2 linked regions of the Coturnix japonica genome follow. Each later gene encodes a partner of the first gene's protein in a complex. Links are inferred from orthologs where the notes say so. Each region holds a gene or a part of one and is shown in the gene's direction. Other genes may lie near its edges. The genes, in order: EIF3D and EIF3F.

Region 1 (16,718 bases):
TTTGTTTCGGTTTTATTTTCTCCAGCTTTAAACTGTGAAAAATCAAGGCGGGCAGCAGAAGGAGGGGTGGGGGGGGGGCTGCAGGGGGGGGGGACCAGAGGGGAGAGGGGCTTCCAGTGCTCAACATGCTGCTGCAGGGGGGGGCTGCAGCGGGGTGGGGGGCACGCACTCACTCCCCTGTGAATGCTCACAGGCTCCCTAAATGCATTTGGCCACCCCCCACCCCAACAACAAGCCCCATTCCCCCCACCCAGGGCACCCACCTCTCCTACTGGGGGGGTCCCTTTTTAGCAGCCCCCCATCTCGCCTGGATTCAGCTGAATTCATTGGTGCACCTGCGCAGGAGGAAATGGGGACGGGAAGGGTTGGGGGGGGGTGTCAGGGTCCCTGGGGATGGGACCCACAGGGGCTGCCCCCACAGCTGTGGGGTGTGCAGGATGGGTGTGCCGAGCCCTAGGGCAGCTCAGACCTATTAATTTTTGGTTTTAATATGGTGGGGTTTGGGGTTTGTTTTTTTGGTTGTTTGTTTGTTTGTTTTTTGGTGTTTGGTTTTTTGGGGGTTTTGATTTTTTTTTTAATTTTTTTTTTTGTTTGTTTGGTTTGGTTTTTGGTTTTTTTTTTTTGCTTTGTTTTTTTTCCATTCCCGTCCCTGCTGCTCCAGTTTCAGCTCCCAGTGGGGTTTCTGCTTAAAAACATCCCGACTCTTCCACCCCCATTACCCCCAAATATCTCAACCTCAGCCCCCGGGGTAGGGCGAGTGGAGCAGGTTAGATATCCAGACTCCTGCTCACAATTCTCCCCTATCTCCCCACCCCCAAACTCTAACAAATATTAGCAAAAGAAAGAAAAACAGGGGACAGACATTCAAAATGAGCCCCCACCAGCCCACAGGGACAAGCGATTCACTGCACGCCCAGACTGCAGCATAAAGGAGAGCAGTGTTTGGGGTTAAACCCAAAAGCTCCGTGGAGCTGGAGAGCATTCACAGGGAAAGGTGGGGGGGGCGAGTGCCAGACCCCCTCACAAGGGATGGGGAGGGATGAGGGCTGGCAGAGATGCGTTCTAACAAGGGTATTGCACATGTCCAGCTCAAAGCAGTACAAGAAAAAACCGACCTCCATTTACTTTCTTTCGTGGGTTTTTTTCAGACTGTTATAAAAGAAAAAAAAAAAAAAAAAAGAAAAAAAATAAATAAAAAGAAAAAAATAAAAAAGAGAAAATGACAAAAAAAAATACAACAAAAAAAAAATCCTGGTACATGAAATAAAGATTTTTTTTTTATATATAACTTGGTCCTCGTTCAAGTGGATTTATTTTTTTTGGGGGGTGGAATTAAAGTGAAAAGGGCCCCTGTGGGCTGGAGGAGCACCTGAAAAACAGCAACGGGGGTCAAGCCCTGCCTGCAGATGCCTTCACCCAGGGGGTGGCACTGAGCCCCACATCTTCCACTGGCAAAGGAGGAAGAAGAGGGACGATGAGGCTTTGCTTGACAGTGAGCACAGGTAAACTCAAGCCATGCCATCCTCCAGCCTTCAGAAGTGGCCATGAGGATGGGTGCATTGAAGATTTTGCTTGACTGCTCGCCAAATGCCCAGCTGTGCTCCCCAGGGCAGGACGGGACGGTTGAGCCATGGCTCCCTTTGCTTCCCCCACCTGCTGCCCCATTTCGGCTCCTCCCTGGGGACCCCTCCCTCACAAAATCAGGGCACAGGCAGGGAGGGGGAGGCAGCAAAGCGGGACAAGATGCAGCCAACCCTGCAAGTGGGACGCTGCCAGATGTGGCTCCAGTCCCATGTCCTGCACAGTGTCCGGCCGTGATGGGGGGCACGGCTCAGCCCCTGCCTCTCGGAGGTGTTCCTTCCTCACCAGGGCTAAAGGTGTGCTCCCTTCTTCCCCTCCACGATGTCCCTCTGCCTCCTTGCTTTTGTGGGTCAGGGCAGGAGGGGGAAGGTAACGTCTGGGAATCAGGCGTACCCAATTCTGCTCGGTGCCCCAGACAGGGCCGGCCTCCATGCAGTAATAAGGAACAGCAGCGCTCAGCACTTCTCATGTTCAAAGCACTTCCCTAACATTCTCTAATGAATCTGTCGCATTGAGCAATGCAATGGACTTGCGCGTGAACAGCAGCCCTCCGCTGCCCCATCCCCTGGGCTATGCGGACATTCTGGGTGGGTGCCAGCCCTGTCCTCACCCAGGGTCATGGTGCTCCTCCTGCCCCCGCTCACTTCTCCCAGCACTGGTTCCACTGGCCCCTGGCTATGGAGAATACACCACAGCCTGCTCCTCCACACCACCATGCAGGGAGAGGGCCAGGGGATGTCAGAGACCTCTTGCCTCGTGACTGGGAACAGCCAACATGTCTGGTCCCCCAAAGACAGGACTGAAGAATGTATGAGAGACTCAGCTTTGCTTCTGCTGAGACTCTGTGAGAGCTCTGCATGCGGGAAAACCCAGCTCCATGGCAATTAAATTAACACAGGGCATTTAGCAGTGTCGCTTAAACGGTTTCAACACCTAGGAGCAGTAATTAGTAGTAATGGTTTGGCAAGGGAGGAAATTAAGACCCAGGTACGACGCTTTTGTCTGCAGATAATTTTCAGTGCCAAACGGCTGTAAGGGAGAGGCTAAGTGCCAGGCATGCAGGTTGCTTGCCTTACTGCCATAGCAGGACGCTCCTGAAACCAGAAGGCAAAGCAACAGAAGGAAAGGGGAAGGTGAGGCTGCAGCTTGAGTCCTGTGTTCAGTTCTGGGCCCCTCACTACCAGAAAGACATGGAGGCCCTGGAGCGTGTCCAGAGAAGGGCAGCGGAGCTGTGAGGGGTCTGGAGCACAAGTGTGATGGGGAGCGGCTGAGGGAACTGGGGTTGGTCAGTCTGGAGGAGAGGAGGCTCAGGGGAGACCTGATCGCTCTCTACAACAACCTGAAAGGAGGGTGTGCTGAGGTGGGGGTCAGCCTCTGAGTACTGGTCCTGGGTATTGTCTGATCACAAGGCTGGACTCACAGAGAAGCAGGTACCCCACAGAGCCTTCTTGCTGCAGGGAGGCTTCTGTGGCAGAGGCAGGAGGAGGAGGCCATGGTTTGGGGTGGCAAAGGGAGGATAACTTTCAAGCATGGCCTGGAGACCTCCAGCCAATTCCAGGAGGTTCCCACACAAAGAATATAACTTGAAGGTCCCGCTCTCCTGCAGAGCTCAAGTTCCCAGAAGCAGAGGAATGCTAGAGGAATCATGGAATCATTAAGACTAGTAAAGACCTCTACGATCATCCAATCTAACCATCAGCCCATCCCCACCATGCCCACTGACCACATCCCTCAGTGCCACATCCACATGGTTCCAGAACACCTCCAGGGACAGAGATTCCACCGCCTTCCTGGGCAGCCTGTTTCAATGCTTCACCATTATTTCTGGGTAGAGCAAGGGCCACGCTGCTTCCTATGGGCACAGCTATGAGGCAGGATCCTGGGCTGCAAATCCCAGCCTGGTGCAGACGTGAACCCTTCTGGCAGCACATTGTCACTTGTGCTGGTTTTCCACCAAGAGGAACAATGTGTGGGTGATGCCAAACCCCACTGTCCTCCTTTTACTTTCCCTTTGTCGAAACCTCCAGGTTGACACAGACGCGAAAGATGGGGGTGTAGGGCTGGGTATGAGGACAAGGAGGTCTCGTTGCCCTCTGCAGCCATCGACTCTTGACATTGCGCAAAGTCAGCGATGAGGAAGCCGGCAGCTTCTGCAAAGGGGTCAAATGTACGGTTGTGGGCTGAGACCCAGAAACAAATCTGCAAGGGCAAAGCACTGGGTTATGGAGAACAGGTTTGCACTTCTGCTCCTCCTCCTGCTGTTCCCGATCCCCTCCGGGCTGGAGGAAACGAGGGACTTTGCTCTCTGGGGATCCGTCAATCAGAAGCCGCCACCGCCGTGCAATTTGCCAAAGGCTCTGCTGCCAACAGCGGGGCTGAGCCCATGGCTGAGCAGGCACTGCCATCCCGTGGGATGATCCCAGCACAGCAGCCCGGCCCCAAAACAGCGCTGAGCAGAGCCGGAGGACCTGCAGGTTTGTTCGGCCCAGAGTGACAGAACCTGGACTGGCATCCTGCTGCTGCACGTGGACATCTTTCATTGTTTTCAGGGCTCCTCACTCCTGATTGCTCTCCTTCCTGCAGGAAATCTGCGAGTAGACCCAAGGACATAACCCACTTCGATGTGAGAGTCTGACCTGCTCTAATGGGACAGGCTCCAGCCAGCAGGTGGGGAAGTGCAGTGTTATGAGGTCAGAGCAAACACAGGGCTCTGAGCCCCTCAGCATCACTTGCAGGGCCATCTGTGGACCAAGAGGTGCCAGCTTAGCCCCTTCCCGCCCACTTCTCATCCCCATCTGCAGTGTTTGAAGCTGCTTCGGTTCAAGGGTCCAGCCTCGGGTGTCAGCAGTGACCTTGGGAGGTGTCAGTTCCAGAGGAACACGAAGGGAAGAGAAAGGAACACTTTGGATTGCTGCAGCGGGAGCTCTCTGGAACAGGGTGAGGGATGCACACCCCTGCTGGCTGCCCCGCAGCACCCGCAGCCCGGTGGGGGATGTATGCGACACGGTTTTGCCCAAGGAGACAAAAGCACGAGGCTGACTCCTCCAAAGCCAGCAGAGAGCAGATGGCACCGAAATCTGCTCAAGAGGAGAGAAAGGAACAGCCCCAGGGCTCAGCTCCCTGTGTACCTCCAGACGGACATTTGTCCCCATCCGAGCATCTCCAGCTGACCGAGAGATGGTGGGGATGGCAATACAGGGTTGCTCTGCATCCCTTGCCCCTGTTCGCTTCCATGGGGACTCTTCATCCCAGAAGCTGAAGCCATAGGGAAGAGAGGATGGAGGCGGCCTCTGTACTATGGCTTCATGGTCATTCAGCGGCGTTGCTTTATAGAGGAGAGGAGAAAAGGGCTGAAGCAGATCCAGCTCTGCCTCAGCTCCTGATAATGTCCTACTTAGACCTCTTTGCCTGGCTGTCATAAGCAGCATGCTTTCAGAGAAGGGATCAGCTGGGCAGGGGCATTTGCAGAACACATTTAGCCCCAGAAGATGCTGATTTTTTGCACAGAAATTACTGCAACGTTGCTGATGTTGAAGGAAGCAGCTGTGGGCACTTGCAGGGCCCTTGTAAAGAAAGCCAGCGGTGCTGCACTCTGCTCCCCAACCCCAATACTGCACAGCATCCAAGCATCCGGCTCCCAAATAGAACCCTTCCCAGGGACACAAGCAGGACCACCGTGCAGCAGGGTGTTGCAGCTTGCTGTGTGCAGCTCTGGGCTCCTACCCCAGCCCCTGCACCAGCCCTCCCCGCCTCCAGCAGGCACGGAGCCAGCAGGGACGCTGCCGGCACCAGCTGCTCTCATTGAGCTTTGCAGAATAAACTCATGGAATTAGCCTGTTGGCTGCTGGGATAAAATCCAGCGCTGAATGCAGATCAAAGGAGACGATCTTCCCAACAGCTTTGCTTTGGAAAGGGCAGCGTTCAGCAGCTGAGAATGGAGCATGATGCACGTTGCGTCTTTGATGGTGCATGTGCTCTAAGCCCTGATGCTCAGAGCTAGGGGTGCCTTGGGACAGATCCAACAACACTGGTGACAGAAACGGCCAAAGCCAGGCAAGAGGCAGTGCTAGAACAGAGAATTTTGTGGTGTAGCCTAAATTCCAGCAAGCTCTGCCCAAGCCTTCTCATAGCAGCATGAAAGGAGCAAGCGATGCAGGGCAAGGCTCTGAGCCAGAGCAGAAGCAATACAGTTTCTAAAGGCAAGGAAGCCTGCTCTTGTCAGGTTTCTGTCCACCTTCACAGGTAAGGCTGTCTGACCCAGGAGATATGGGAAGCACTCGGCATGGCTGGAGCAAGTAGACAGAGGAAGCTTCATACTGCAAGCACAATCCCCAACCAGGAATGAACTCAGTATATTCCCTGCTTGGACCTTCCCAGCACACACAGCAAATGTGCCAGGTGTCACCTGCTCCCAGCCCCACTGGGCTGCACAGGCAGCAAACTGAAAACCAGATTCATGGCATAGGGAGTTACTCAATGGCTGTTTCTTTTTTCCAGGAAAAAAAAAAAAAATGTAGCAGCAAAACACCTGGCCTCAGAAAGCAGCAGCAGGAGGCAGATAGAAGCACAATGGCAAGGATGGGATGGGAAAATGAATGCCAAGGAAGAAGGAGGGCTTCCCAGGCTGTGGACACAGAGAGAGCTATGGAAACCATGAGCCTCCAGTGCAACTGAGCAAGCAGGCAGCTGCTGCACACACTGATGGTGAGAAGCCAGGAGCCAGCAGTGAGCTTCACTGCTTCAAATACAAAGGCCAGAAAAAGAGTCTGAGCTGAGAGGTGTGGAAACGCTGGGCTCCTCAGTTTGAGGAAGGTGACAGGGTTGACGACTCTTTTCTTTGGGCTTGCCGAGGAGCTCAGGACGATGGGAACTAAATATATGGTACAGGCAAACCAAGTGTTCGTTGCTGTTAGAAGAAGAAAGAACTGGCTATTTTTGATGTGTTTGTTGTAAGAATCAAGCAAGGAACTACCTGTTTAGTGTAAACATTAGTCTTCCAGCACTAGGCTGCCTCTTGGAGTAAAAAGATGGCTGTGCAAGAAGGAAAGAAAACTGTCCCAGCTGCATACTGCACTTGCTCAGCAGGACAAGCCTGCAGTGCTGCCTGGAGCTCTCGGAGAAGCCCTGAGCTGCTGTGGGAGGTGGATGCCTCAGAGGGAGGGTGCCAGGTGATGGCTACAGAGGCTTTGGACTGGAGCAGCCACAATGCTGGAACAAAAGCCCTCTTTTATAGATCCACAAATACCAGCATAGATCCCAGAAATGGAGAAGCAGAAGACAAAAATGCAGAACCAGATGGAAGCAATTTATCCTGGCTGTTTCATAAGCATCTTCCAGGGAAAAGTGATTAGCCTTATTAACTGATTAATTAACTGATTAACTGAAATTATGGATCACAGATCAAGTGATTGCAAGCGAGTGTATTTTGAGCAAAGTCAGCACTTTTCTGGGACACTGTGTGTCTCACGTGCTGATAATGATAGCCGACAGCTGGATGGCAAATCATCTGCAGAAACAGTGCTGGAGCTGACACCAGCACAGCCCTGAGTGCAGCCCAGGACAGGAGGTGAGCTGGGCAGGGTCTGGTGCCAAGTAAGCGTGAGCCAAAGCCACCCTGTCCCCTCTTCCAGTAAATCCCACTTAAATGGGGGAACAAATCTCACCTTCCTCAAGGCTGGATTTTTCTTGCAGCTGAAGTTTCTCCTCTTGATAAGAAACCGGTAGGTTATGATGTGCCTAAAAGAGCATTTGTTCTCTGATGGCCATTCCCTGTGCTTGCTTTCCCCTCTGAGACACACTAATACCCAGCTCCATTCCCAGACGAGGCAGCCTGAGGGGCTGGGCCCGAAGTGCCAGCACTCTTCAGCAGGCAGCAGCAGCGCTACACTTGCCTTTCAGCACCTCACACAGGACTGTAAGGGAACAGGCAAGCAGGGGGAATGCAGAGTCTAGGTTTATCAGTCTAGTTGTTTTCTCTTTCTTCATTCCGTTTGCTCTTTGGGACTTCCTTTTACGTTTCCTAAGCATGACTTGAACGTGGCTATGCTCAGGTTGAGTCTGTGATATCCAGGGCTGTTCCAGCACTGACGTTTGTCACCACAAAGGCTGTTTGCCTGTGAGAGTTACAAATGGTATTTTATAAACCGTGTTTCTGTAAGTGGATTTCTCTTTTTGCTAGCGGGGAAAACTGCTTTAATAATCCGACTTCTGATTAATGGCGCAGCCTCCTGGCAAAGCAGACTGCTTCGGTTATTTCTCGAGGAGGGTTTAAACGCAGTAAATAAAGGAGGAAATGCACGGTGCTCTGCCTGCAAAATATTGATCTAGACTCAGATGGTGCAAGATACCCAGGGACGTTCTGCAAACAGGTTGTGGTGAGGTGGGGGTCGGCCTCTGCTCACAGGTAACAGTTATAGGGTGAGAGGGAATGGCCTCAGGGGAGGGTCAGGTTGGATATGAGGAAAGATTGAGATATGAGGAAGGTGCTGCAGTGGCACAGGCTGCCCAGGCAGGTGGTGCAGTCACCGTCCCTGGAGGTGTTCAGAGCCGTGTGGATGTGGCACTGAGGGACGTGGTCATGGGGATGGTGGGGATGGGCTGATGGTTGGACCGGGTGATCCTAGAGGTCTTTTCCAGCCTTAATGATCCTATGTAAGGCACGCGACGAACCCACCCTGCCCCCTCCCTACCCCCCGGGTAAGTAAAAGCCGTGGTGACGTCACACCCCACCACGTACAGCCCGATGCCGGCGGTGACGTCACGGGGCGCATTGCGCCTAACGGGAGATCCGCGCTTTACGGCAGTCGCGCTCCGCCCCCTCGCTCTCTCTCTTTTACGACGGTGGTGCGCGGCGGCGCCGTCGCGCAGTGCTGACGCAATAAGGGCGGGACGGGGCTGCGCGCGGCCTTTCCTCGCCGGCCGTCGCCGCCGCTGTCGTATCCGTCGCCATCGGGGCCGTAACGCGGCCGCTCAGGTGAGGGGACGCCGCGGCCGCCCCGTCACGCTCCGCCGTCCTACCGGGACCGGCCCGCGGGCAGCGCGACCCCCGGCCCCGCCCAGGCGTTACCGCCGGTTCCGGTGGGGCCGGGCCGGCGCCCCCGCCTTCCTGCGCCCGCTCCGGGCTCCCTCGGTGCCCCTTCCCCTCACGGTGGCGCCGACGGGGCGGGTGCTGAAGGAACGTTCCGCTTGTTCCCCGCAGGGCTGTGAGCCATGGCGAAGTTCGTGACCCCCGTGATCCAGGACAACCCCTCGGGTTGGGGCCCGTGCGCCGTGCCCGAGCAGTTCAAGGATATGCCCTACCAGCCCTTCAGCAAGGGGGACCGCCTGGGCAAGGTACTGCGCTGTGTGGCTGCTGGGTGCACCCCTGTGCCTCTGCTGAGCTACCAGAGTGGGGAGCTGGGTTAGACGTTGGGAGGGGTCTCTTTTTTTGCTCGGCAGAGAAAGACCTGGGGGTCTTGGTGTGCGAAAGACTCAACATGAGCCAGCAGTGCGCTCTGGCAGCCCGGAAAGCAAATGGATCCTGGGCTCCATCAGGAGAGGTGGTCAGCAGGATAGGGAGATCGTCCTCTCTACTCTGCTTTGTGAGCCCATCTGGATACTGTGTCCAGGTGTGGAGCCCTCAGTACAAAAAACATGGAATTTTGGAAAGGGTCCAGAGGAGGCCACGAAGATGATCAGGGGCTGGAGCACTCCCCTATGAGGAACAGCTGAGGGAGTTGGTGTTCGCCTAGAGAAGAGAAGGTTGCGGGTGACCTCATTGCAGCCTTTCAGTACTGAAGGAACTACTCCCAGGAGGGAGTAAACTCTTCAAAAGGCTGATAATAGCAGGACTAGGGGAAATGGTTTTAAGTTGAAGGAGGGAAGATTAGGTTGGATTTTAGGGGAATCTTCACTAGGAAAGTGGTTAGGCCCTGGACACGGCTGCCCAGGGAGTTGTGAATGCCCGTCCTTGAGGTGTTCAGACCAGGTTGGACGGGCCCGCAACCTGATCTAGTAAGGTGTATGTTTGGCGCCTGCCAGGCAGGTTGGAACTACATGATCCTTGAGGTCCCTTCCAACCCGGGTCATTCTGTGATTCTTTGTTTAGAGGACGCTGAGGCGCTGGCACAGACTGCCCAGAGAGCTGTGGTGCCCATACACCTGCAGCTTAAAGCCGGTGAATGAGCTGGTGGGGGGCAGGATTTAGATATTCTTTAAGATTCCTTCCAACCTGAGCCATTCTGAGATATGACATTATATGGTTCTCCAGCACCTTGACAGTTGTGAGCATTCTGTGAGGCTTGCTTATGGAGGTGGGAGTTGAGGTGCATACAGCAGTCCCTTATTTTGCCTTTTGAGGCCCTACTGGGGGGGGGGACGACACACACATCATATTAACACTTGCTTTTTTTTTTTACTGTATATTTTTGTCCTTAGGTGGCAGATTGGACAGGAGCCACGTATCAGGATAAGAGATACACAAGTACGTGTTGTCCAATGGCTGTTCCTGCTATTTATTTTGTGCAAAGCTTACTTCAAACGTCATCCCTGCTTTCGTGTTTCCCACTGGCTCTACCGGCTACATACACACCTCAGCAGAGGAGGCTCTTTAATTTCAGAAGCGTGTCTCACCGCTTGGAGAGCTGCGTGGGGCTCTCCCTGCCCTTAGGGTTCCCTTGTGGGTTTGTTCCATGTGCTGACTGGTGCTTCTCTGGGAGGTTCAGAGCAGGGAGGCAATGTGACAGTCTAATGCAGGAGTCCTAGTTGATGCATTAGACTTGAGTAAAGGCTACTGAGGAAAACTGGGGGGGCGGGTGGAGTGTCATATTTTTGCTTCCAAGCTTCATAGCAAAATGATTTATTTTATTTCCAGACAAGTACTCATCACAGTTTGGTGGTGGAAGTCAATATGCGTATTTCCATGAGGAGGATGAGACCAGCTTCCAGTTGGTGGATACAGCCCGGACACAGAAAACTGCATACCAGAGGAATCGCATGCGATTTGCACAGGTAAAGCTTTACTTTCAGAAACAGGCTCAAAAAAAGAGATTGAGCAATACAGAATTACTTTGCCACTAATCTGTCCTTTTATTCTTTGCTGCATTCCCACAGAGGAACCTTCGGAGAGACAAGGACCGCCGGAACATGCTGCAGTTCAGCATGCAGACGCTGCCAAAGAGTGCCAAGCAGAAAGAGAGGTGCGGGCTTCACATACAAGCATTCTGTACTTGGAGTGTGTGAACATACTGTTAACGAGTAATTTAAGTTACTGTAACAGAACCCACCAAAGTTCCTAGCAAAGCATTTCAGGGTATTTTAATGTTTGCTGATGCGCCCAGTAGTTACAAGCATGGATTTCAGGCAGCTATTTAAGAATCTAGGAGATGTTTTGAGTCAAGTTTAGGAGGTAAGTGTGACAACTTAAAGCAGGATGTGCTCTTCCTGGAAACTGTGTTGTGGTCATTAAGGATAAAAACATATAAAGGGTGTTCAGAGTGCAGAACAAAGCTCTTAACACTTCAGTTGTTTGGATAGCCAAATTCTCAGCCTGCAAACGTTGTTCCTCTGGTGATTATTTGGAAGTGTGGGAGTCGTGGCAGGGAGCTTCTTGTGTTGAGAACTTGTTGTAATGGCTTTTCACCTATTTGTCATTGTAGGGATCGTTTGCGCCTCCAAAAGAAGTTTCAGAAGCAGTTTGGAGTGAGGCAGAAATGGGACCAGAAGTCACAGGTAAATTAGCCAGCTTCCTGACCCTGGTGATGGCTTAGTTTGTCTGTATGTGCTGATGTCTGTATGTCCTCGTGCACAAATCCTGATGTGCTATGTGTGTTTTCTCCCTTTACCCTTTTCACCTCTGGCCGCGCAGCAGAAGCCTCGTGATTCCTCTGTGGAAGTTCGCAGTGACTGGGAGGTGAAAGAAGAGATGGATTTCCCTCGACTGATGAAGATGCGCTACCTGGAAGTGTCAGAACCACAGGACATGTAAGTTCCTAAAACAGTTTCCTGAATAGACAGCACAGGATAGCAGGAAAGCAAGGGGTCTCTTGGCTTGGTCCCAGTGTCCCCAGTGAAGTAAGCAAAGCCAGGAGTGGTAGAACACCCAACCATTCCCTTAGTCCTTTGTGGTTTGTCAGTGGAGGTGTTTATGTGACCAAGATGATCTGTCCTTTCTCTCTGTAGAGAGTGCTGTGGAGCTCTAGAATACTATGATAAAGCCTTTGACCGCATTACAACAAGGAATGAGAAGCTGCTGAGGAGCATTAAGCGCATCTTCCATACAGTCACTACTACTGATGACCCAGTTATCCGAAAGGTATGTTCACTGGTTTCCCAAATCCAAGAGCGTGCTTTTCATTGCATGCTGTGCTTTGAGAACTGTCACAGTCAGACCAAAGACAAACAGGAAAAATCTACATCTCTCAGCTTACAAAGGGGAAACTATTACCTTGTTATTTTCCTTGGACCTAAGGTAAGCTGGGACAGGGTAAAACTGGGAGTACTGAGCAATGAAAGGCAAACAAACGAGTACTTGGACAGTGCTGGAAAAGGAACTTCAGTGTTGGAAAGCTGCTTCTAGAGTTTTCTGCTTTTGTAGATGAGGAAGGCTCAGGGACTGCTCCTTATGACTCTGTCAGTAAGGAACCAAGTCCTTTCACAGTAGATTTCCATTTTGTAGTAGATTTCTTTTTGCTTGTCTGAGAGCAAGGGTGAGCCTGGATTACTAGGTAGTACTCCACACTTGGCATAGCTGTCAACGGTGTACCCAGCAGTCTGTCTTTCTCAGTATGGAAGAAGAAATTCACAATCTGGTTTGCTAGCACTTCTGATCTTGGCTGGGAAAGGAAAGGTATGTCTGTAAGTGCTGCTGAAATATGGTGTTTTCTGTATCCGTAGCTGGCCAAGACTCAAGGGAATGTGTTTGCCACAGATGCTATCCTGGCCACACTGATGAGTTGCACTCGCTCTGTGTATTCCTGGGACATCATTGTCCAGAGAGTTGGATCCAAGCTTTTCTTTGACAAGAGGGACAATTCAGACTTTGGTGAGAAAAACTCTTGAATTAAAATTTGTCTCATTTTTCTTTATGCTTCTCTGGTGGTGGTTGTTTGTTGTTGTTTTTTTAATGTATTCTGTGTCTCAGTGCCAAGACCGAGACACCTGGAGCAAACTGATGGCTGCAATATGTTGCTAACTGTGAGAGTACTTTCAATGCTGATCTGCCTCAGCATGTGTGGTAGAGATTCACTGAAGCCGATACAGATTCTCCTCAAGTGTAACAGCATGTGACTGGTTTTGTTCTCAGATCTACTGACAGTGAGTGAAACAGCTAATGAACCACCACAGGAAGAGGGCAACTCCTTTAATTCTCCACGCAACCTTGCCATGGAAGCAACTTACATCAACCATAACTTCTCCCAGCAGTGTCTGAGGATGGTAAGGCCGAGTAGTCCTGGGCAGTAAGGTCTGAATTTTGGAGAGTCTGGAAATGAGACTTTATTCAGACTTGCTTAATGCTGCTGCTCAGCACAAAAGTGTTTAAATTGGTAAAAGTAGTTTGCACTGATGTTACCTCAGCTTGAAACAGGTGGGATTCCTTATGTTGAGCAAAGTGACTCTTATAAAATGATTTTCACCTTTATTTTACAAAGAGGAAATCCCACTCCTGTTGGTAAAGTGGGCAGGCTTCTGATTACATTTATTAAAGCTGGTGTGCTAAGAGGAGTAATGATCACAGGGAAGTGGTTACCATGGAAAGGAGAATTTGCATCTGTTGTCTTAAATCTTTTAGTGTCTTCTCTGTGTAAGGGAAGTCAGCTGTTGTTGCTGTAAGAGAATATTCACCCAAGAGGAGAGCTCTAAGTTTTGTTTTGTTCTTTTGCTTGTTTGTTTTACTAATAAGCCTTTCTGTTTCCTTACACAGGGAAAGGAGAAATACAAGTTTCCCAACCCAAACCCCTTTGTGGAGGATGACATGGATAAGAACGAAGTAGCTTCTGTTGCCTACAGGTATGTTGATGCATCTCTTATTCCAAGCTTTGACAAGGGTGCAGGATATCAGCGTGGTTTGCAGGGTAAAACAATCCAAACCAGTGAACAGATAAAGGGTGAAAGGATTTTGCTGAGTACTTGGAAAGATCTGGCAAAGAACCAGGATCAACAATGACCTGGACTGTGTGTGTGCAGGTACCGAAGGTGGAAGCTGGGAGATGACATAGATCTCATTGTCCGCTGCGAGCATGATGGAGTGATGACAGGGGCTAACGGCGAAGTGTCATTCATCAACATCAAAACTCTGAACGAATGGGATTCCAGGGTGAGGAAGAACAAGATCCCAAAGCTAGCTCTAACTGCTTCACTGCTGCCTGACATGCCAGGTATAGCAGGCAAGATGAGACAAACATCTAGTGGTGTCCCCTGAGTTATTACCTTCTGTCAAAGATGCAGAGCTTTGGTGGACTAGCAGTGCTATTAAGCCTTACCCAGGCATGAGGTAGTTGGTTTGAACCCTGTTCTTGTTCCCAGGTGCTCTGTGCAGTAGCTGATCTTTATCTGTGCTGCCCTCATTAACCGTCCCTAGCAGACTTCCTCTCCTAGCCATTGCTACTGCATTTCTCCCTTTCCAGTGCAGGGGCTCTCTCTGCAAGTACAGGTTTGCATTCCATAGTTACGGTATCATAGTTTAGATAGAAGAAGCTTCCCCATGCAATTGCTGAAGAGATAATTGTTGCTGGCTTGTTAGGTTCACCCTGTTTTTGATTCTCCCGTTAGTATTGCAATGGAGTAGACTGGCGCCAGAAGCTTGACTCACAGAGAGGAGCCGTGATTGCCACAGAGCTGAAAAACAACAGCTACAAATTAGCTCGCTGGACATGTTGTGCACTGCTGGCTGGATCTGAATATCTCAAACTCGGGTAAGACAGGGTTTTAATACCAAGTGTCTTTCAGGTGCATTCTCTGCAATTTAACACAGTCTGTATCATAGTGAACTGTTGGTAGAGTCTGGATGATCATAAAATTGCCTCACGGTTTGAACAGCAGTGGGTAAAGCTTGCAGTAAATGTGCCAGTGGTGACCCAGGCCTTAGCTTTAGCTGCTTACCCTCAACGTCTGATTGATGTGCCCTCCGTTGTGGCTGACCTTGTAAGACCTCATGTGTGTGACAAGCAGGCGGCCTCTGCCATTCCCAGTCTATTTGCTGAAATTGCCACCAAGGGAAATAAATGCAGTGACCATGCTACCTGTCAGGAGTTTGATTGAGGTCCTCAGCGCACCATTACTGAGAATTTGAGTGGAGGAGGGAGGTATCACCACAAACCATTTGGAACTGTCAGTTTAAAACCAATTGAGTCTGTGCTCTGTTATTGATGGCCTGAATGAGCTGCTGTGTGTGCTGCCTTCTGCCAGTCATCCACTTCTACAGAAATCCAGACCAGAGTGCGTTTTCTGTGCTTTCTTTGAACAGCACCAACACAGAGCGTATATCATCTTATCTGTAAGTGGAAATAATAACTGGTGATAATGAAAAGGGCTCAATTCTGGTGCGTCTGCAATTCTATATTGTGTTTTGGGATACGAGATACCTGAAGTGTAGACTCCCAAGTAATCAAGCAATCGCTGAGCTTTCATCTGTGGCACTAGTAACTGCTCTGTGAGGTGTGGGGTAGTGAGAGGATTCCAGCTGTGTTACTGATGGCAATAGCTTGTGGCCAGGAGATCCTCTTAGCTTTCAGTGTTGGAGTTAGGATGGCTCTTCCTTCTCAGAAAGCAAAAGCAAACCAATCATGATGCTGGGTTTTCTGATGGTGCTTCAGTGGCCAAAATTAATCCCCTGCTACTTCTCTCTTCGTTCTTGCCCACCAGGTACGTGTCCCGTTACCACGTGAAGGACTCTGCCCGCCATGTGATTTTGGGTACGCAGCAGTTTAAGCCCAATGAGTTTGCCAGCCAGATCAACCTGAGCATAGAGAACGCCTGGGGCATCTTGCGCTGCGTCATCGACATCTGCATGAAGCTGGATGAGGGGAAGTACCTCATCCTCAAAGACCCCAACAAACAGGTGATCCGAATCTACAGCTTGCCCGATGGCACCTTCAGCTCCGATGAGGACGAGGAGGATGAAGAGGAGGAGGAGGAAGAGGAAGGTTTGTATTACTCAGGGAGTTAGTGCTTCTCAGTCATCTGGATGAGAAGGAGGGATGTAGGGTAAGGATAAGAGCTAATGTGGGGCTGGGGAAGGTGCAGCCCTAAGGATGCTGTAGAGTGTGCGGTGCAGTGACTATAATATGTGACACACAACAGCTGGCAGCAGTGGGGCACAGACTGGTGCTGCTGCTGCCCAGGGTCTGACTGCAATGCAAGGAGGGGCTGTGAGCCTATTATAATTAGGGTGGGATGTGGCTTTTCCTCCTGCCCCAGCAGCAGCTGTGCTTTGTCTTACAGAAGAAGAGAGCTGAGCACCAGGGACTGCGACTGGGCACCTCCCTGCACCGGGATCCGTTGGAAATGGCCGGCAGGGCCGAGAAACCGGAATAATAAAGTGGCTTTTCTCTGCACGGCTGTTCTGCACAGTGTGTGCTGTCGGGGCAGGGAGAACATGGGAGGAGGGCCGGGCTGACCGTGGGTGTGCCTGTTCCTTTAAGGGCCGCCCAGCTCACGTGGTGCTGCGGGGAGGCGGAGTCACGTGATGCGGCGCGAGATGGCGGCGGGCCCGGCGCGCTCCCGCGGTTTCCGTTCCCCGCTGCGTTGGCGCGCGCGCGACGGCGCGTGAGGAGCGGCGCGTGTCGGCCCGCGCTGCAGGTGCCACGCCCCGCACGCCATTGGGTGAGATGGGGCGGGTGGGTGAGCAGCGGCGGGTCCCCATTGGCCGGCTGCCGGCGTGGGCGTGGCCTAATTGACCCGCGCCGGGCGCTGAGGGGCGGCGGTGCCGCCATGTTGGCCGAGCCGCGCGCCGCGACGCTCCCGCTCGTTTCCCCGCAGGCGCCGCCGTGCCATGGCCCGAGGGATCCTCCTGCGCATCGTCCTCAGCGCCCTGTGCGCGGCCGGAGCCGCCGCCTTCCTTTACCACGACTACTGCGTGCTGGGAGCTGGCCCCGCCGGCCTGCAGGCCGCGTACTTCTTGCAGCGGGCCGGCCGCGACTACGTGGTCTTCGAGCGCAGCC
Region 2 (14,578 bases), on another chromosome or scaffold:
AATCCCCAGAACATCTAAAACCCACTCTGGAAAAGTTGAACTTCTCAGGTCAAATTACAGTGGGCATAAGAAATCAGTTGTGAACTTGCATCTGTGAACAAAGTCCAGATTTTCATAATGGGGCTGAAATTCTCATCAGAACAGCGTAACCACTGTGTTTGTGTAGTCCCCTATCTGCAACAGTAACCAATGCTAAACAGAGCAGTGAGGGCTTACGATTTTGCTGGAGTGCTGAGCAGCTTGGAGCCAGCTCTCTGTGCAGATCACTCAGCCAAAACTGATCAGTTAAGACTGACTGGCTAACAAAATACAGAAGGTGAATTTATATATGTCAGTGCTTTGAGCATTTCAGATCTAGAGACAGACTAAGACAGCATTTTGCAAAAGCACCCCTTGCAAATACTACTACTACAGCTAAAGAATTACGTAAGTTTCATGTTGGAAAAACACTACAGAAATAGCTACTTTCCTCCTCCCAAGTAGGCTGGACTGACTCTTCTTCCCTTTCTGAAATTCATTCTCTAGGTCAGGAAATGCACCCTCCAGCTTCCTCTCAAAGCTGTTTCCTTAAAGATCAGAGACTTCCCTGCCTTTCCTCAGCAGATTGTCTGTGGATGTCCCCTATACAAACCTAGCCAGTCAAATATATGGGTCAGATCTGACAGCTGTGGAAAACCAAAACACAAATGTTAAATGACTTCCCAAAGTCAGTGGCAGACATGGGAGTGAAATAACACTAATTGTTATGAAACACTACATTGGAAGAGCAAAGATACTACCCAAAGCACACCTCTGCCACTCCCTCAGTTACATGAATGGCTTGTCCAACATAACCCAAGATGCCAGCAACAAAACCACAATGGGCACTCAGGACTCCCAAGCTCCAGTATAGAAACCATCCCCTAAATTTTATTGCTTGAGTTCCTTTTCAGCTCCTACTGTATGCAAATGAAAATCTTTTAACCTTCTCTCTCACTGCCCCCCTATATTCAGCACAATGTAGCTGCTTTATGCTAGAATAAATAAATAAATGGAATGCAGAGCTGTGAACAGTCAACACCATCTGACTCTGACAGCATAAAAACCACATCAGAGTTCACAAATAAGAGCCCTGGAGTGCACAAAATAGCAGCATTTTTGCCATTCTCTCTCTAGGCAGGTTCCTTACACTATTTAGATGAAATATGGATTTCCCAAACTAGTCACTTCCCTTCTGCACGCAGGTTCCATCCCAAGCCACCAAAGCAAATGTTTGTGCTGGCAGACACAAACAGCTCCAGTCCCAGAGGTCTGCTGAGGCTGGATGTAATTCTGGTCTGGGCTCCAGTGGATGGGAAGTGCTGATGTCAACCCAGAGAACACTGAGGAAAGGACACTCATCCATGAGAAGCAAAGTTGGAAAATTGTTCTATAAGAACAAAGGGCAGGGAGCTCTGCGTGGGGCCGCGCCGCCACCTGGCGGGGACGTGCGGGGCTGCATCTGCTCGAGCGGCTGGGGGCTGGATTGGGATTTCCATTCTAGCTTTAACATCAGCAGCTCCCCATGTCAAACAGGATCTCTAATAATTAAAGTAGCCCCATAAAACATTGCAAAAAAAGTGAGGAACGGTTTGAATTCCTTCTGCTAATATGAAGACATATCAACCAATGCATTATACTAGAAATTAGGCTGCCAACAATAGCCGTTCATCTACTAGCAACCACAAGTGAACAGGAAGCAGAGGAGTATCCAAAACACTCCATTGAGGCTGAATAAGGAAACTACCACTTAGTTTTAATTTAAAACCCAGAAGCCACTGACCATCACTACTTCATACTAAAGCCCCAGAGAAATCCTAGTAGCAATTGGATGGACCAGTATGATAGAAAAAGCATTACAAAAGAGATGCAATGATAAAAGGACCAACACAGTAGAAAGGTGCTATAAAGTAAGAGAAGATTGCTCACCTGTATCAGAAAATTCTAGGTTTGCAGCATAAAGCTTCACTAAGGAGAGATCTCCAGGAAAAAACCCTTTACTAGCAGCAGTCAGCCCTTAAATAAGGTCTAAGAGAGGTGCAGGCAGGCTGCATCCCCTCCAGGCACACAGCTGAATTGCCTTCACCTGTGCTCCCAGGGCTGACCAGTCCTTTCCCCAGCTGTTCAATCAGTGGTTCAGGCCGTGACTCAACACTTACCATACAGTCCTGAAAAACACAGATAACCAACAGCCAGCCAAAGCATTGGCAATATGACCATGAGAAATGGCAGAGAGGGAGTTCCATGAACACAGTGAGAGCTGGAGACACAGACCTGATGTTCCAAGCAGGAAAAGAGACTTCCATTCTTTGATACCAACAGATTCAGAAAATCAGTCTTGCTATTCTTTTTCCTAATTATGCTTATCTACATGAAATGCATATTTTATTTTACCTGTAATTCAATGCAATATTTTTAATGTACTCTAAGGGGTTTTTCGCCTCTCAACAAGAAATTATGTTTATTCCCATTGCACAAGCAAGATGAGACGATAGCTACTGATATAGAAATTATATATCAGCTGTGAAGATGCAGCCGACATAACAGCACATGCAAAAGTAATGGCTCAGTGACGTGTAAGGGCTGTAAAAAGAAATCACACCAGAGAATCACAGAATTGTAGGGGTTGGAAGGGACCTCTAGAGATCATCGAGTCCAACCCCCTGCCAAAGCAGGCTCCTACACCACGTCACACAGGTAGCACAGCTCTGCCTTTGGCAGACAGGAGCTCAGCGCTGCGCCAGCCCATGAGGGGGCGGATGCTCACGGAAGTGGCGTATGTGACAGGCGTTCCGATCAGCCAATTGTCGTGGCCGAGGTCTCTCCCCTTTCTCTTCGCAAAATGGCGGCTCCTGCTCCCGCTGTGGCTCCGGTCCCTCCCGCTGCCGCCCCGGCTCCCAGCCCCACGGCTGCTCCCACTACACCCACGGCGGCCGCGCCCCCTCCGCCCTCAGCCCCGGCGGCACCGCCGCCCTCCGCCCCGCTGTCCGCCGCGCTCTCGGGTCCTTTCCCCGGCGGCCGCGTGGTGCGGCTGCACCCGGTGGTGCTGGCCTCCATCGTGGACAGCTTCGAGCGGCGCAACGAGGGCGCGGCGCGGGTCATCGGGACCCTGCTGGGTAAGAGCCGCAATGCCGCAGCCCCCACTGATACCGCCCCACTGATACCGCCCCACTGATACCGCCCCACTAAGACCAATACCGCCCCACTAACCGCTGTCGTCCCGCAGGCACCGTGGACAAGCACTCGGTGGAGGTCACCAACTGCTTCTCCGTCCCGCACAACGAGTCCGAGGATGAGGTACGGTGTGGGGGCTATGGGGGATGTGCCATCGGGGCTCCTGCACCCGCTGACTCGGCTCTGTCCCCTTCCCCAGGTGGCTGTTGATATGGAGTTTGCCAAAAACATGTACGAGCTGCACAAAAAGGTGTCTCCCAGTGAGATCATCCTGGGCTGGTGAGTTCTATGGCCACAGGGAAGTGCGGGCAGTTGTGCAGGTCCCTCAGATACCTCAGATCTGTCATTGCTGTCAGAGGCTGGAAAGCAGAAGCAGCAGTGAAGTCGTGCCATCACTCAGGATAGGAAAGGATGCTGTCGCAGACTTAGAGCGTTTTTGGTTAGTCTAGAAGAGCTGTCACAGACAGGAGGGTTGGGAATGCTCATGGATCTATTAGAATGCAGTGATACAGTCTGTAAGGTAACTAGCTGGAGGGAGAACACAAAAGTACCAAAGGGCTGGTGGGAAACGGTGATGTTAGCCTGAACACAAGGGTGTTCTCTGAGTAAAGGTGGAAATACCTGTGATGGGGTGTTACAGGAAAAGAACTCGTTTGTGCACGGATAACTGGCCTCGTTTGTCTATTGACATCCTCTCTGGCCCCTTTCTATGGAACAAAATCCTACAAGCGCAGAACTCTTGGCTTCCTCAACAACCCATCATGGCACAGCAAGGTGCAGTTCTCATGGCAGTCGCTTTCCTGTGCATGCAAGAAGTTAATTGCGGAGCAATTGAAGGAGCGAGATGAACAAGCCCTGCCTCCTGCACAGGGGTGTTTAATTTGTTTAAGATTTACTTTGCTGGTCCAAATTTGCTTGGCATGCTTTGATTTATAAGGAAATAAAGATTTGGCCCAGAGCATAGTGACAAAAAACTGACTCTTTTTGATGGTAATACAACACTGACCCTGTGCATGTTTTGGGCATGTGTGCACTCAGCCTATAATTCTAGGAGAGCCATAAAACTACACATGACCTAGTTATAATACTAGTCTTTACTATGTGTCTGCAACTCAGTGCTTGGACATCAGGGTTTTAGAATACAGACCTGTTAAATACCAACAAATACTGGGCATTTGAACATTAGAAGAGTGGTCTTTCAACATTTGCTTTTTCCAAGGTACGCAACAGGTCACGACATCACAGAACATTCTGTCCTGATCCACGAGTACTACAGCCGGGAAGCACACAATCCAATCCACCTCACTGTGGACACAAGTCTCCAGAACTCACGCATGAGCATTAAAGCCTATGTCAGGTACATGGGGACAGGAACTGTCTGAATTACTAACAGATATTGTATCAGGATGGCACCTACAGCTTGATAGTGTTGCTTAGAGCCCTATCCAGCCTCGAATGCCTACGGGAATGGGGCATCCACCACATGTCTGGGCAACCTGTGCCAGTGCCTCACCACCCCTATTTTAAAAATGTTCTCTTTTTGTCCAATGTAAATCTCCCCTCTTTTAGTTTGAAACCATTTCCCCTTGTCCTATCACAACAGACTCTGCTGAAGAGTCTGCCCCCCTTCCTTCATATAGCTTCCCCTTTAGATATTGAAAGGACACACTCAGGTCACCTCACACCATTCTCCAGGCTACACAGCCCCAGCTCTCAGCCTGTCCACGTAGCAGAGTTGTTTCATCCCTGGGATCCTATTTGTGGCCCTCCTCTGGATGCACTCTAATAGGTCCATGTTTCTCCTGTGCTGAGGACTCTGCATCTGGATGCAGTACTCCAGGTGAGGCCTCACCAGAGCAGAGGGGCAAGATCACATCCCACTCCCCGCTGGCCACGTTTCAGGATACAGTTGGCTCTCTGGGCTGCAAAGCATGTTGCTGGCTTGTGTCCAGCTTAACATCCATGAGTTCCCCCAGGTCCTTTTTGGCAGGGCTGTGCTCCATCCTTACATCCCCCAGGTTATACTGATAGCAGGGGTTATCACGACCCAGGTGCACTTGGATTTATCAAACCTCATGAGGTTTACCTGGGCACACTGCTTGAGTCTGCCTAGGTCTCTTCAAATGGCATTTTATCCCTCAGACATGTCAGCTTCACCAAGAAGACAGTACTGAACTCATCATGCGCTTGTACTGATAAATGTCAGACCAGCTAGGAATATTTTTGGATGAAAATTTGCAGTTAATAATATACCTGTATTGATTTCCTGTCCTTGGTTATACATGGTATTAATATTGCTGATTTTACTGACAGTGAGTAACCTATTCGTGTTCACACTGTAGTGCTAATAAAGATCATTGAGATGGAAAATTATTTCCTTTCAGATGTGTCCATGCTGAATTTATGTGTTTTTCCTAGTGCCCCAATGGGAGTCCCTGGTAAAACTATGGGCGTGATGTTCACACCACTGACAGTGAAGTATGTTTATTACGACACAGAGCGGATAGGAGGTGAATGCTTTATTCCTATTTTGGGTCTAACCATTGTCGTGATACTGTTCAAATGCTGTTTGGTTATTAAGCCTGGTAAAATTACCACTCTGGGGGGGAATTAAACTGTCTCACTGAACCTGATGCTATCCTAGAGAGTATTGAACAAGTTAAAGTTTTAAGCTGCTTTCTGTGTCAGTCGGATTTCTCAGTGATCCTGGTTTTGCTTTCAGTGGATCTCATCATGAAGACCTGCTTTAGCCCTAATCGAGTGATCGGCTTGTCCAGTGACTTACAGCAGGTGGGGTCAGCCTCAGCCAGGATTCAGGACACCCTGGGTATGGTGCTACAGTATGCAGAGGATGTACTGGTAAGGCAGACTTTATATGAGACTGAAGATAAGTTTGACATAAGATTATGCATCTGTTTTTATGTTTTTATTACTGAGTTTTACTCATGCTGAAGTGTGTTTCTTATGCATAGTCTGGCAAAGTGGCTGCCGACAACACCGTTGGGCGTTTCCTGATGGATCTTATTAACCAGGTGCCAAAGATTTCACCAGAGGACTTTGAGACGATGTTGAACAGCAATATTAATGTGAGTTCATTGTCTGATTTCTAAGCGTATTGCCAGCAATTTTGAAAATATCATACAGACACAATTTTGTTTATGAACAAAACTACCTTTTCATACCAACACGGTCATAAAAAATACAGCCCTTTCTTGTCTCTAACTTTATGTTTTAAGAGCTGAAGGTGGAGAAGGGAGCTTAAGGATAACTAGTGACTTTCCCTGCCTTCTCTGCCTGACCTGAAGTTCTGTCTCATGACAGAGCACTTAAGAACCCAAACAAGGTTATATTGTGCTACTTTATTTCTGTAATGGATATTTGGAAAGCTGAGTTTCTGAATCTGTTATTTGCCCGTAGTCTGCAAGACCACAACTAATTTTTAATTTTGCTTCCACCCTTTGACTCTCCTGGTTAATACTGGTGAACTCTAAGTTAAAATTTCACAAGTGCTGCTTCATGTTCCAGGAATACCAACACTTTCTTCCTGTAAGGGAAGCATTCCTCAGGGTAGGACGTTCGGGACTAACAATAGTTCCAGTAGCTGATTGTAAAATGCTTTACAGGAGGCGTTAAAGATTCACATCTCCATACCAGGCTCTCATCTTTGTTAAAATTTCTGATGACTGTTTTTTTTCTTTCTTTCTCTCAGGACCTTCTGATGGTAACCTACTTGGCAAACCTCACACAGTCACAGATCGCTCTCAATGAAAAACTTCTGAGTTTATAAAGAAACTTCTGCCACCCTACACTTGAAAGAGCCTCAAGAGTGAGCAGATACACACTTCCATGGCGATGTTACAAATTCCCTCGGACCTTAACTTAATTACCTAAACGACTTGGTTTACATCTTCATTTCTACTTCCCTGGAAAATCCCTGACATGGTTTAGGAAGTGAATAGGAACTCCTGCAGTTTGGATGAACCCATTATTTTAAAATGGAATAAGTGAATCTTTTGCCTTCTGGGTTTATCAACTTGTGTAACAAAATACAGCTTTAATGTAAGAAATTATTTGAAATAAAGTTCAGTTGTATTGGCAAGAATACCTTCTGTTCAGAAGAAGACTCTTCTCATTTATTGTGTAGGAAGTATTGTGCAGTTTACCAGCCCTTAAAAGTACCGGAACACTGATGATGATACATTGTGACTAAAGGAGGTTATGTCTTCCTGAGCAAAGTGAAGGTATCAGGAAAGCCTGCAGTCCGTAGGCTGACTTGTATGGTAGACAGTACAGCAACAAACAAAACAAATTGGAGCAGAAAAATAAAAGCTCCCCTCAAAAGTGTATGTTTGATTCCATCCGTGCTGGTACTGGGAGAATGGTGTATTGTAAACCTTGCTCTGAGATTAGAATTTTCAATCTTTCGTGGCTACCCTTGTGAAGGACAATGTTGCAACCAAACTGTAGCACAGCGTATCATTTTACTTGGCTGTAAAGCCTAGGCTGTACTATCATTAGGAGGCTGAAGAAAGAGGCATTTCCTTCTCTGGAGTTTGAAAATCTGGACAGGGAATACTTAAGGCTTTCTACTGATCCATTTTATGGGATCTCCTACCTAAAACCTTGAAATTGCTTATGAAGTCTGGTGGGGAAAAGCCTGGGAGTCAAGAAAAACCACCAAGGATTTCAAGCTCTAATATGCTATTATTTATACATCAATGAGATCTTGGACCTACTAGGGGACTTTTTCCTTTTTTGTTTGTTTACGACTCAATACTCCAAACAGCTTTGACAAAGTCTTGCTTTTAAGAGTCTGATTTAATCATCTTTTAAATAGTCCAGATAGTTCTCCAAGTATGCTTCTGTGTACAGCATGTGTTGTATTTAATTATATTAATGCTCTCCTCGCTTAGACGGAGCTGATCCTGAGTTGTCACATGAGCACAAAGTTCTCTCTGAAAACATGTCTGCCCCAATATACATAATATTCAGACCAGAGTTTACAGTTACAAATGGTTCCCTTATTCTCTATGGGTGTTCTGTGTGCTTAGAAAAGTTAGAGGAGTACATAAAATCAGCTCACCTTGTTGCATCAGGCCTTCTCAGACATGAAATCCAAGTCATCTGCAAACTGGGATGGAGTTTCATTCACCACAGCATCTCTCAGCGGTATGATGAAGCAAGGCAACCTTGTGTTCACTTTGTTTCCGATGAGCATGGATGGCAACTTCTGACAACCTGCAGTTTAACGAGCATAATGTCATTATGCTTTGCACTGACAGCTTCCTAGTGTAATAAAACTGCTTGTTTCCCTCTGAGCAAGAGTATAAGACCCACAAGCACATGAGACTACTCTGTGCTGCTTACCAAAACCAATACTTGCAGGATGAACTTTGTTAAATAGAAATACCTTCCTAAAATTGCAAGAGCATGACTTCACTGATTATGGTTTCAACAATAGGCTGTGTACCACAATGAAAACTGGATGTATGTGATTAATCAAGTTCCCTGTGTGCTTTGTTATGTTGCAAGGTTTGCAGACAACATGGAGGTGATTCTTCAGGTGAAGCTTTTGGATAGGTGGTGTGCAGCAGCCAGGTTTCTCATGACTCTGTTAAGTGCTTTGGATTGATGATGCACAGAACAATTCTGGTAATGACGGTGACTGTAGGATTAGATTAAGGTCCAAAGAAAGCCCTTGCAGGCTGCATTGTGCTGGTGCTAATTTTCTGGCTAAGCTAAAACACAAAGTTTGACATTCAAATTCATGTGACTGAACAAAACAATTAATACTATGTGGTGATTCTCTGGGTACCAAAGTAAGTTTGTCTTGCTAGTTTTGGTACGTTTAACAGCCATTGTGCTGTTGCCATCTTCTCTGGATCCCTGTACCTTAGGAGGGGCTTCCTGAACACAGTTCCAGTTCTTTCCTGTCTTGACAAACCATATCTCAAAATCTGTTTTAAATATACCTAAATATATCTCCTTTGTCCTTACTGAAGCTTGTTTCATGTTCTTCCTGTTCTTCATAATAAGCTATATCTTCTCTTCTGCTGCATTATCTATGCTTTGATCACCTAGCTGCCCATTTTTAACTTAATTTCAGTCATTCTTATTGATAAAGACTTGCATCAGTGTGTAGATGAATGGATATAATAGTACACTAATGCTTTCCCATTATAAATTCCTTGTTTGCCTCTTGGTGTCTGTCATTACTGTGACTGAGCACCATCCTAATCACCCCCGTTGTCATTTGAACTCTTAAGTTACTATGGAAATTATCCATTTAAACGTATGACCTGGTATTGTGACAGCTTCTAATTAGAAAATCTAGATGTTATGATGATCTCCCTGTTTCTCCTGGTTTGGATTGCTCTCAGGGCTGGTGACACTTCAGTTTCATCAGCAGGTATCATTAGTTTGTTCCCAACTTTTGTGCCATTCTCAGTCAAGAAAAAACTTGGAACTAACCCAGACCCAGCTGAATTCTACAAACACCCTTTTCAATAAGGCTTTTGCACTTACTTTCAAGTTCTTTAGCCTCAGTCATGCTAATTTCCATCTTCACTGCTCTAATTAAGGGTTCTTGTCATGTCCTCCGTGGATATCCAAGCATCATCCTGATCCACTGTGTCCTGTGATTCACTCTTGACACGAACAACATCTTTGTGTTTGGCGTAAGCCTTGGAAAATGGAAATAAGACTAAAACTTCAGTGTTGTTGAGAATGACAAACAAAATTCGCTGTTTGCAATCAGATACTTCAAAACCTTGCTTATAGAATTACAATTTCATTTGCTGATTATTTCAGAATGCTGGAATGAAGGTCATAAGTCTACATTGTCAGCTGAGTCAATTACGTTTCTTGGCAGAACACTGAAGAGGAAGTAATGTTTTAGTGTATGATTTTGTGAACATATGCCATCTATTAGTAACAAATTTGGGATGGGTTGTTTAGTCTTAAGGATTAAAATGTCAGTGCAGGAAATTGGACATGCTGCTCTCTGAAATACTCTAGCAGAACTACCTGCTGCTCTCCTTGTGCGCTCTGAGTAAGGATGAAGTGTATTTTTAGTGTGGTTCCACCCAGCAGAACTAGAGACTCTGATGGCAGTCCTGAGGCTTGTGTGAAACTCCCATGATTGGACTATGGTGGGTGGAGTCCTACCATGACTCACAGGGCAGTAACTCCCATTTGAGCAGCTAACCAAACACATCTCCTTGTGGTGAACTGTGCTTGCTCTGCTCTCTGTTCTTAAGGAAGGTTTACTCAACAGCTAACTTTGACTATCTGCATTTTAATTACCTCAGTCACAAGGCAGTGTAACAGGGCAAATATTGTTAGTACCTAACAGACTTGGATCACTGCAGTATCCTGCTGGTTTGTTATACTTTGACCCACGGTTCAAAGCTGACCAGGTCTTGCTGCTTACTGAAAACTGTGGGAAGGCTGAGGGTTTTGTTCTTTTTCTATTTGTTTGGGAATACAGATGGTTTCTATCCTAAATAGTTCAAACCCAAACAGTCCACTAAATGGAAGAGGAAGAATTATGTTTTATAAAGGTATTTGAGCCCCGTGGAAACAAGGGTTTTGATATATACCTGTGCTGAAAGAAATGAATTTAACAGAGGTGAAGTATACTAGACATAACGCTGGAAGTGTCTCTTGAAAAACGCCGTGAGGATTAAATTCTTAAGGCTGTTCATGACACGTTCTGGGCAAACAAGGCAGGTATAAGCCCAATTCTGCTGAAGACAGGTCATTCATTAGAATTTTTATACATTTTAGGTGCTTTCCATTTGAAGTGGACAAGCGTGGTAAATTATTACCGACCTATTTTCTGCTGCCTGCACTTACTGCTATTTTAAAGACACAGAGAACAGTGGTTTCACTTGGCAACTGGCATTCAAATGCCACAGCAGGTTACAGCAGAAGATTGCTTGCATTTGAATGGTGTCTGAACTGCTAACACACGCTTTTCATAACAAAGCATGCAGAAGTTTTGAATAATGGCAATTAACTATTGCATAATAGCAGGGATGGATCCTTCAGGAAGTGTATAGGGCTGGTTAGAATCCCTTACAAATACTTTGCTACAGGGTAAAGGAAGAAGTAAGTGCATGTGGTGTCTGTTCCAAATAGAATATGAATAAACGTAACAATAGATTTAAAAATAGAAACAAAGCACCAAATTCACTTCCCATAGCAGTTAGTTGCCATAATTTAGGTTTATTTCTGGGGACAGGAGCTGTAGTAGCCTGGACAGCCCTACCTTCATCTTGGAGACCTACAGGACCTACACCTTGCTCTCAAGTCACACACAGAGTAGAGCAGCTGCCCTGGGTCCACTTGGCCATTGCACTGGTCTGGTGGTCCAGACGACACGGCTCACCGCCCGCCAGCTACCGGCCTCCATCTAAAGCTCCATGTGCTTCTGGAAAATAGGTCTGACCTAAATCCACACGTGTTTGGGTTGAATTTAATTGTACACGTGCCAAAAGGAAACTGCAGGGTGGACTTTCTACTTCAGAGGCCCGGTGCCCTCCGCATGGGATGGTACCCGCGGTGGGGCTGCGGCTCTGGGCACTGCCGTCCCCTAAAGTACCTGCTAGCCGTTCCGAGGCAGCTCCGTGCACACCGCGGCCCTGAGGGACACGGGGCAGGCCGGACGGCCGGGTGAAGGGACGCTACGTTAGCGGGACCGCCGGCCCGGCCGACTCTTGGGCGCGGCGGTGCTGCCCGCGGGGAGCGGGGCCGGGCCGGGCCGGGGCGGACCCGGGGGCGGGGCGGGTTCCTCCCGGCCCCACAGCCTCCATTTTGCGGTGTAGCTGCGGGAGAGAGGCCGGAGGCTCCGCGCTTTTCCCTCAGGTGAGGCACCTGGGGGCGGGCGGGGGAAGGAGATGAGCCCGGAGCAGCGCCCGCATCCCCTGCTCCGGGCCCGGCCGCTCCCCGCGGGAGGGGAGGGCTGCGCTGCGGGACCGCGAAGACCGGGATGGCGGCGCCTCCTGCTGCGGGACGCTGAGGGTGGGTCGGTATCGGTACCGGGCAGAGCCCGTCCTGCTGTCGGATACACGGGATGGAGCGGCATCTGCTCCGCTCCGCGGCCTCAGGCTGAGCTCGGTGCGGGCGGTCCGTCATCAGGTCCCTGCTGCTGTGAGTGCACGGATCTCCTGGAAGATGCGGAGCTGCTTCGGTACACGCCGCTGTCCGCTCGGTGTGTTGTGAAGGGACCCCGGGCCCTGCTGTCGGGGCAGCCCGGGTCGCAGGGACCGAAGCTGAAGTCCTTACCTGACCCCTTCACCACTGTGCGTCCTACCAAGGAAACGCCATCACTCTTCTGAGTTACAAGCAGCAGCAATTGGGGTCTTGCTAGAGCAGGTGATTACACGGCCCTAAACACAGCAGCAGTTACCCACGTCCCAGAAAAGAAACGCACAACGGTGCCAGTAAGGAAAGAGTTAAGCACTGTAACTGTGTGTGTACGTCACAGGTGTGCACGGGTGGGTGATCAGAAATACAGCCTCCTTTGCAAAGGAGGCGTTGGAAACCAGGATATTAAAAAGCTTTTGTGCCAGAATTTGTTTGACAGGAAATGGGGGCTGAAAAAAAAAACTGACTTCATTCTACATTATCTCATCAATAAGTCTAAAAAACTGGTATGTTTTAGTACGGATGAAATATTGTTGGGTCACACTTGTATACAAATTAAACTTGGAACAGCTGATCTGCAGGCACCGGCTGCTCGCTGCCTTACAAAAAGCAGTGTGAGCGCAGGGGATGTGATACCGTGCACACCTGCCCGTTTCACAGGCTTCACGTTACTGGCTGCTTAACAGTGTGACTTTGATTGAATGCCACGGAGCATAAAGCTGGGATCGTTTGGAGGTTTGTAATGGCCAGTTTTGCTGACACTGTATTTTCCCACTGAGTGGAAAGAGTGAAGCTGAAATCCAAAGGAAGCGCTGGCAGTTGTCTTCTTCCTGAAGGGAGCTGCAGTCCATGGTTAAGTAACAGAAGTGGCGGAAGAAATGTGTTGAAAGCCAGAATGAAAAGGCAACACACAGCCCTGTCAGTAGTAAATACTGCACAGCTATCAGCCACTTGCTGCTTCTAAGGGAAACAAATGGCAATTAGCAGTGTTTATGATTCAAGTGTTTGTGGTTATGATTTCCAAGTACACCTCACGCAGTTCTTCTCCCTGTATTATGAAGAAAGCCCCTGAAGTGTTGCTCCTGCTTGATCACTGCTCTCTACAAGGTTGCTTTGGCCTTCATTCAAACAAACCCGCCCTAAATTTTACCATTTCCCCCAGTAAGTCAGAGTGGTTCAACACAGCAGCCAGCTTTCAGATCCATTTGTTTTGCCTGCAGACACCTAGGAATGTGAATGGTCAGTAACTGTATTACCTTTTATTTTTATATCTTGAGTTGTGCAGCAAGGATACTGCCTCATAAACATGCAATGAGTGACTCCCAGTCCCTGCTGCCTTCTGCTTCTAATCCTCCAGCCCTTCTATTAAAAACAAAAGGATTGAAACAGTTATTAGCAGGAAACAGAAATCTGCACAAATGAAGGAACGCAGGGGGAGGATGGTACATTGGGAGCTGAACTCCTGCCTGGATGCTTCCTCATTTTGGTGTTTTGTTTGAGCACGAGGCTGATAGTATTTTGAAATAACAGTAAGAATACATCAGCATAAAGCGTTTGTATGGAGGCTCAGATCGCTCTTCCTGCTCGTGAATTCTGAAACAGCGGCTTCACTTATTTTTAAAGGATTAAAAACAAATGAAACAGATCCCCTCCCTTTCCAGCCAACAGCTCTTGCACAAGAGACAACACGCCCAGGCTGAGAGGAGCTGCTGTGGAGGTGGGTTCTGCGCGGGGCCCCCACCCAGCAGCTCCTCCACCTCTTTCCCTCTTCAGTTATGCAAGACAGGAATGCCTCACGGAGGCATTTTTTGGCAGAGCAGTGGCTGAAAGGCCTGCAGGCTCAGAAAACAGCTGCTTGCAAAACTTTTGCATGACCTTTCCTTCAATTTTTTGTATGTCACATGTGCATGTTTGTATTATGCTAATATAAACCTTCATCTATAGTGTTATCTTCTTATGCTTAAATAAGCTCTTTGGATTAAAGTTTAGATCTTTGCAAATCCTTTTCACGGTGCACTGACCAGCACTGGGCGCAGTTTAATTCTGCAGGATGCACCACGTCATTACCATCAGGAAAAGAAAGACTGAGTCATTTCTTACGCTTTGGAGTCAGACAAGTGCGGGATCTTCATAGGGACTCAAAGGTCAAAGTAAGAGACGTGTGGCTGCTGAACCACCCTGGTCCTCCCACGCTTGAGCTGTCCTGCTGTCATCCTTGTGACAGCATCAGTTCTGG

What was found.
Region 2: EIF3D (region 1) and EIF3F share a complex: the UniProt entries of both Homo sapiens proteins name them as parts of the eukaryotic translation initiation factor 3 (eIF-3) complex. The link is inferred for Coturnix japonica from reciprocal best matches to the Homo sapiens genes EIF3D and EIF3F.

Annotation. Positions count from the first base shown.
Region 1 is NC_029516.1:47,216,458-47,233,175, forward strand, and holds EIF3D (eukaryotic translation initiation factor 3 subunit D), read left to right. Parts: upstream 1-8,436; 5' UTR 8,437-8,554; intron 8,555-8,779; 5' UTR 8,780-8,790; coding exon 8,791-8,913; intron 8,914-9,996; coding exon 9,997-10,042; intron 10,043-10,432; coding exon 10,433-10,569; intron 10,570-10,671; coding exon 10,672-10,757; intron 10,758-11,216; coding exon 11,217-11,289; intron 11,290-11,425; coding exon 11,426-11,541; intron 11,542-11,739; coding exon 11,740-11,872; intron 11,873-12,453; coding exon 12,454-12,601; intron 12,602-12,862; coding exon 12,863-12,993; intron 12,994-13,480; coding exon 13,481-13,566; intron 13,567-13,743; coding exon 13,744-13,873; intron 13,874-14,328; coding exon 14,329-14,471; intron 14,472-15,420; coding exon 15,421-15,701; intron 15,702-15,999; coding exon 16,000-16,013; 3' UTR 16,014-16,112; downstream 16,113-16,718. Other genes in the region: FOXRED2 (FAD-dependent oxidoreductase domain-containing protein 2), read left to right, coding at 16,550-16,718. UniProt on the Homo sapiens protein: mRNA cap-binding component of the eukaryotic translation initiation factor 3 (eIF-3) complex, a complex required for several steps in the initiation of protein synthesis of a specialized repertoire of mRNAs.
Region 2 is NC_029521.1:13,745,959-13,760,536, reverse strand, and holds EIF3F (eukaryotic translation initiation factor 3 subunit F), read left to right. Parts: upstream 1-2,838; 5' UTR 2,839-2,860; coding exon 2,861-3,134; intron 3,135-3,244; coding exon 3,245-3,315; intron 3,316-3,391; coding exon 3,392-3,471; intron 3,472-4,411; coding exon 4,412-4,549; intron 4,550-5,610; coding exon 5,611-5,702; intron 5,703-5,914; coding exon 5,915-6,051; intron 6,052-6,164; coding exon 6,165-6,278; intron 6,279-6,901; coding exon 6,902-6,979; 3' UTR 6,980-7,296; downstream 7,297-14,578. UniProt on the Homo sapiens protein: Component of the eukaryotic translation initiation factor 3 (eIF-3) complex, which is required for several steps in the initiation of protein synthesis.